2 linked regions of the Drosophila melanogaster genome follow. The protein of the gene in region 2 interacts with the protein of the main gene of each other region in a pairwise test. Each region holds a gene or a part of one and is shown on either strand. Other genes may lie near its edges.

The links. The genes of interacting proteins can lie anywhere in the genome.
Region 1: the proteins of GstE1 (region 2) and CG10914 interact in a two-hybrid assay, tested with the Drosophila melanogaster proteins (one large-scale study listed by BioGRID).

Annotation. Positions count from the first base shown.
Region 1 is NT_033778.4:18,156,692-18,160,811, reverse strand, and holds CG10914 (uncharacterized protein), read right to left. Parts: upstream 2,556-4,120; 5' UTR 2,517-2,555; coding exon 642-2,516; 3' UTR 502-641; downstream 1-501.
Region 2 is NT_033778.4:18,396,452-18,399,738, forward strand, and holds GstE1 (glutathione S transferase E1), read left to right. Parts: upstream 1-1,941; 5' UTR 1,942-1,980; coding exon 1,981-2,655; 3' UTR 2,656-2,772; downstream 2,773-3,287. Other genes in the region: GstE10 (glutathione S transferase E10), read right to left, coding at 292-1,014; GstE2 (glutathione S transferase E2), read left to right, coding at 3,073-3,287.

The sequences.
Region 1 (4,120 bases), 240 kb from region 2:
TTTGCGCAAGCAGCAATCGCCACAGGAAATTATCTTACAATTTCTTTGTCAATTTGTTGCCCGTGAAAAAGTGGATACTTGCGGCAGTGCTGCCGATTCAGCTTTATTCCCGTCAGATCTGGCTTAGTCGCAGGATAGTGCTGCGCATGGCGGGAAGATAAGAACATAAACGTCTGTTTTTTAATTAGTCAGCATTTTCTTAAATATCCAAACGCACTTTATTTGAGTTATATTTTTACACTCTTTACTATACTGTTAAGTTAAGCTTATTGTATCTAAAGGTGCTATGTTCATGATATCCAAAATCCATGTAGCCATAAACAGCTTTTATCTTTTATTAAAAAACGGCAGCACCGATTATGTACGCTGCGCTGCCAACTCGCTTTAAAAAAGAGTAGCGAGTAGCCAGTGTTGCAAAGCACGTTAAGCAAGGGTCTGCTTTTTGGCGCCGTTACGGGTTTTGAAACTATATTTAAATTTATAAGTTCATAAATATAATATATAATAGCACAAACTTTATTATAAAAATCGGGGTATGCTGAAAATAACTAAAGCGGTGCAAATTGCTTTAGTTTGGTAGAATATATTATTAAGTAATTTAAACAATTGTATTTATTTACAATTTATAAACAATTTGTTTTTTATTTTTTGTAAACAAAGGGCTTGGCGGTGTTGTAGGCCAGGGAATACCTTATGTGCTTGCCAACCAATCGATCGGCTAAAGGTATTAAAGCCGGTTCACGTCTGTAAATCCCTGCCGCCTTTGGTGTCCAGGCCCGTAGACGACACTCCGAGTGGCCCGGCAGCAGGATTCCCATCCAGCCCGCAGAGCTGAGCGTAATATCACAGTTAAGCCTCGTTTCCTCGTTCCTTCCTTCACTTGCCAGCACAATATCCCCATCCTTGCATTGCAATCCCGGCCAGCGTCGCAGGCGGGCCTCCAAGTTCTCGCTAGCGAAGGGAACACCCAGAAAGGGCGAACCCACGTATCTTTTGTACACGCTTTCCGCCTCCTGTGTATCTGCTATCATGATGGGAAGATGCTCTGAGGCAAATACAAACACCTTCAGCCAGTCAAAGTGTTTCCTTGGGCTTGTTATTTCCAGCAGATCCAATCTGGCCAAACCGCCCAGTAGTATGCTCATCTGGGGCCGCAGCCGAAAGGCGCGCGGTCGGATCATGGTGGCGGGCTGCAGCTTTACCAGCTCCTCGGCGGTGAGCAGGGGAGATATTTGGTCGGGTTGCATCACACCCGGTGTGTCGTAGACCCAACGCGCTTCCTTGTACTCCTTGCCCCGATCGTTTAGCGTTGTAATCGGTCGCGAGCCACCGGCCATGGCAAAGGCATCATGGAGATTTTCGCGTCGATCGAAGGTGCGTCCAACCGGAGCCACTGGTTGAGCAGCTGCCGCTGAACCCGTTTCCCTTGCCACTGCGCGACGCTCCTTTTCCATTTCCGCCTTCTCGCTGCGCTCCGAAACCAATCTCTTAAAGCGCTGATAGACTCGATCGTTCGATGGACGCAAGATTGGAAACCGCAGCAGTTTGAGTGTGGTGCCCGGCCACGGACAGGTGGTGGCCTTGCGCACCAGGTCACTGGCCTCCGGCCGGCAGTAGTCCGAGTTAAGCAGAATGTTGAACAGCGAGCTCTTGCCCACATTGGTGCAGCCCACCAGATAGACATCGCCTTTGTAGGCCCACGTTTTGTGCAGCTGCGTTATTAGCTCCTCGATGCCATAGCCCGTTTTGGCGGATATCAAACTGACATTCTTGATATTTAGACCATTTCCACCGCCATGCTTGATGAACTCGCGCTGCAGAGAATCCTTAATATGCTGAAGATAGATGTTGGAGTCGCGCGGCAGCAGATCGACCTTGTTGCCCACCAGGAAGACGGGTCGCTTTGCGCCCAATATGTTTTGCATGCCCGGCCAAATGGAGCAGGGAAAATCGAGAAGGTCCACCAGAACAATAGCCAGTGCAAATTTGTCTTGAATGCGGGATATGGTGTCCACATAGGTCGATGGGGCCACCACCACATCCAATGCGATGTTGTAGTGGTTCAGAAAGTGACAACGCTTGCAGGTGATCGTTTGCAGTTCCTGCTGCGTCCTATCCCTGAATATTTCACTTGGTATATAGCCTGGCAGGGAGGCATTCGTGCAATGAAGGTCTGCGCCGCAGCCGTTGCATGGAACCTTTGAGGCGGGTAACGAAGGATCCGGTGTGCCCTGCTTATTCCCTCCCTCCTGGGCGCCCTGATAGAACTCGTAGTCGTCCATCCAGTCGTCGGGCAAATGCTGTTGTGTCTCAGGAATCGAGAAAGAGGGTTTTATTTTGGTCTCCAGAACAGAGCTGTAATGAACGTGCTCATGATCCTTGTACCGCTCTCTGGCGAGCAGCCACGCCCTCTGCCGAAAGCTCTGTCCCACTTCAGCGGCGGTATTCTGCCGCCTCGAACATGTGATAACCACATTTTTATTTATAATTTTATATAAACGTGTGGTTTTAAACATTTTGCAATGCCCACAAGAATTCTCACAGTGTCAGACTAAAGCCGTTTGCTACGAAACCATTTACATAGTCAGGGCTGCTAGCCGATAGATCTGAACGATTGTTATATTATTTGGCGTACAAAATAACAAGCATCAATTCAAGCAATGCTTTTTGTGTTATAAATCGAATAAAAGATATTTCAGTACATTAATTTGTGTTCATTAACTGGAAAAAAACAAAACGCATCGAAATTAGGCCGATTCATATCGAACAATCACGAGTGTATCGAAAATCGAAATCGGTGAAAGAGAAAAAAGAAAGCAGCGTTAGCGAGAAAGCAGAGGTGAGTTAAGTGCGGGACAAAAAAAAAGCGTGTATGTATTAAAATTGAAACAAAAAGATATAGAAAAAGCGTGTCCACGGCGCAATTAGCGTGCTCCTGCGGCGGTCGGCAGGCGATATACGCATTGGTAAAAGTACAGAGTACACGCCGAGTAAAAAGCAGCAGCGCACAACAAATAAAATGATTAGGAAAGTGTGTGGAAAAAAGACAAGTGTATGTGAACGGCGATTGTATGTGTGCGTGACGTGACTGTATGCGTGCTGCTGCTGCGTGTATATGAAATAAAAAGTAACGCGAAGCGCGACCTAATTTTAACCAAATATTACAATAATATTTGCATAAACAAAGGCGGCTCGGTTAATGTGACGCCAGGCATTTTGGTGGTTCCTGCGGCTTTCCACGAACGTTTGCCGACGCCATTGTCTGACCAAAAACAAAAGAAAAGAATTGAAATAGAATAAATCTCAGACGAGCACACTATTCCGTCGAGTGTAGAGTTCTTCCCGATTGAGTAATGCAATAACAACAAACGGAGCTGCTCAAATTGTTGAGAGTGTTGCAACTTTCGTTGGAACTCGTTTTGAACCGTTGTTGTTGTTGTTGTTGTTGATTTTGTCGCTCGCATCGCTCACTCACTTACTCACCGACTCACTCGCTCCTTTCCATTCTCCTGATGTTACCAAAACTGGTCTTCAAGAAGCAACAATGCAGTTTCTTGACGGGGAAGGGGAAAAATCAATAGTTCGGAAATTAGACAACTTTCAACATCCATGATTCAACGAAATGCACTCAGCCTAGAAGAAGCTACCGATAACCCCGGGCGCAAGAGCAAGCGAGATAGTTGCCGCCGCCTACCCACACTCGCACACAGCCACACACTTACACTTATGCAGCTGAATTTCCAGCGATGTCTGCTCTGCCTTTTAAGTTGTTGTTGTTGTAATGTAATTGCGAAATCATAACGGCAGTTGAAAGTTGAGAGCGCTTAGCGAAAGAGAACGAGGGACACAGAGAGCGTGAGACTAAAGTTTAAGCTCTGGCGGCAAACTATATGCCCTGCTCTCCCCCGCCCACGCAGAAACATACAGCCGGCTGCCAGTGTAGCGCATATGAGAGTCGCATCAACAACAACGCTATTTCCTCAAGAAGAAAAACACATGTTGGCCGCACAGTGGGATGGAGTGGGAGTGAAATTAAGACAAAGTCACTGAATGGAAGTGCGAATGGTGCCGCCATCTTGGTTCTTTTTTGGTCAAAAATCACGGAATGAATGCTATTTAA
Region 2 (3,287 bases):
GGAAATGCACTCCACGCTAGATAGTAATTTATATACAACATAAAAAAAATGTTCGCCATCAAGGACATTTACCGGCCAAGAGCACTTAGATGGCTACAAAGTCTTCAGTTAACTCAGAACAGTATATAGTGAGCCTATACACTGGGAAAAAAAGAAGATTATTCAAACATAATATACATTTTAAATCATTTTGCCAGCAGCGTAAGTTTTAATACATCATATTAAATACCATTTAACATACAATTTTACTTTGGGCAATGCTCTCTTTTCGATGCGACAATGGCTTCCGCATCACTGTTTTCCAGCTCCGCTCTTGATGTCCTCAAAGGCCTTTTGCCACAGCTTGTCAAACTGCTTGGGCAGCTTGGAGCGAATCTTATCGGCCAACAAGCGGGCTCCTCTCAAGTTGTCCTCCTCATAGAAGGGCAATGCGGAGATACGTGCCAACCAGGCGGATAATTTGGGGTATTTGGTCGCATCCACGGGACAGTAGCTCAGGTGCAGAGTGCTCACGGTGGCCACAATGCTAAAATCGGCGATGGTCAGCTGAGGACCGGCCACATAGGGATTCTCCGCCAGAAATTGCTCCAGCAAGGCGTAGGCATCCTTCAACTCAGCCAAACGATCCTTGGGCACCTCAGTGGCATTCTCTTTGAACAGAGCTCTCTGCAATTGCTTGAAGATGCCGTGAAAAAGGACACCGGTCTCGAAATGCAGCCGCTGATCCACCACAGCTCGCTTCAGCGGATCCTTTGGATAGAGCTCATCCGACTGGGCGTACTTGTTCACCAGATAGCCGATGATGGCGTGTGAGTCCCAAATGCATGACTCACCATCCTCCAGCATGGGTACCGTGTGCTGGGGATTCTTGCGTAACATATCCGGCTTCAGATGATCGCCGGCCTGCATGTCCAGCGTATGGAATTCATGGTCCAGCTGGAGGGCACGAAGGGTCAACAAAACGGCACGGACCGGCGGACTGGACTCAGTGCCATATAGAATCAGGTTAGCCATTGTGGTTGCTTAACTAATTGCCTTCTAGCTGGTTGAATTGAGATTCGTAGCAGACAGTGTGCCATCCACAACTGACTCAAGGCAGTCTAAATAATTTAAATTTCTTTCAAACGCGATAAGATTAGATATTAAACTTAGTTTCTTGATAATTACCACAAAGACGTCATAATGCTGCAAGTTTAAGTTTGCCTGATTGTTTATTAATGTCCGGGATAAGTCGGTCTGCTATCTATTAGCTGTGTCAATATTTGATCAATGTCCCCGTGATTTATTTGATCATAGTTGGAGCACCAAAGGGGCTACTTATATACACTGCTAGAAACGTCCAAACGAAACCTAAAGTAACCAGACTCATTAGCAGTGTTTCTATGCAAACATTTTCATATAAATATAATTATAAAATTATGAGTTTAATATTATTACTTCTGTGTATCAGATCATACAATTTTATCCAAAATAACGATAAGCTTTATGCCAGCTTAACTTAAGCTTTAAGCTTTTAGAAACTTTCAAGCTTCGTTAGGAAGACTTGAATTGTAAATTTACATGGGTTCTACATGATTCAAATAGATGTATATTACAATAAATCATAAAACAAGTAACTGTATTAAATTAATTTCTTCTGACAACCAATGTTCCTGAGTTCACAGAGACCTACTTTGTTTTTGATGAGTATATGTTTTTTGTAGTTCACCACTGCATATGGTGTTTTAAAATTAGTATCATATAGATGATTCCAGAACTATCAGTTGGGGGTAATTAATGTTTGTTATGATGAAATAGGCATACATATTATATATATGGTTTTTTTTTAACTGTTTAACACATGGTTTCGAGCTTTTATCTTAGATTTACGAAATGCTCTCTCATTTAGCAAAAAGCTTGAGGCAATAAGGTGTGTATATATGTACAGTAAATAGAGAGATCAGTCGAAAGAAAAACACTGACGGGTAAACAACACGTATCATGTCGAGCTCTGGAATTGTACTCTATGGGACAGATCTCAGTCCCTGTGTGAGGACCGTCAAACTTACCCTAAAGGTCCTGAATCTGGACTACGAGTACAAGGAGGTGAATCTTCAGGCGGGCGAGCACCTGAGCGAGGAATATGTGAAGAAGAATCCCCAACACACGGTACCGATGCTCGATGATAATGGCACTTTCATCTGGGACTCCCATGCCATTGCCGCCTACTTGGTGGACAAGTATGCCAAGTCGGATGAGCTGTATCCCAAGGATCTGGCCAAGCGTGCGATCGTCAATCAGCGTCTCTTCTTCGATGCCAGTGTAATCTATGCCAGTATAGCCAATGTCAGCCGCCCGTTTTGGATAAACGGTGTTACCGAAGTGCCCCAGGAAAAACTGGACGCCGTACACCAGGGTCTGAAGCTGCTGGAGACGTTCCTGGGCAACAGCCCCTACCTGGCCGGCGATTCGCTAACCCTAGCCGATCTGTCCACCGGACCCACTGTAAGCGCCGTGCCCGCTGCCGTGGACATAGATCCTGCTACATATCCCAAGGTCACCGCCTGGTTGGATCGCCTCAATAAGCTGCCCTACTACAAGGAGATCAACGAAGCTCCGGCCCAGAGCTACGTCGCCTTCCTGCGCAGCAAGTGGACCAAGCTGGGCGACAAGTGAAACTAAACTTATATTTAAATATGACATTTCACAAGTTTGAATTCCATCAATTAACAACATACACATCCATTTCTAAAACGTAAACTTCTTCAATAAAATATAACATATATATAAAATATTTAATTTATTTTTTTATTTAATTTATATTTATTTAAATATTTGAATTTATAATAAATACTGAAATTTATAAACTTTAATATGGGACTTGAGTCAGTAATTATTATCTCACAGTTGGGGAACCCGACCGTAATATTTTTATCGCTCATTTATGATATCGTCAGTGTACAATTACAAAAGTTTATTTAAGATACAAATGGGGCAAGCTCAGCGCACCCAATTGGGTTGTTTAGTTAAGCTCGTTTAGATTTCTGTGTGTGGCAAATTTAGTGGAACTTGGGTCTCTCTGGTGATCGCATCATGTCGGATAAATTGGTTTTGTATGGCATGGATATTAGTCCTCCTGTTCGCGCTTGCAAGCTGACCTTGCGGGCCTTAAACTTGGACTACGAATACAAGGAAATGGATCTACTGGCAGGAGATCACTTTAAGGATGCGTTCCTCAAAAAGAACCCGCAGCACACCGTACCACTCCTCGAAGATAATGGTGCCCTTATCTGGGATTCACATGCTAT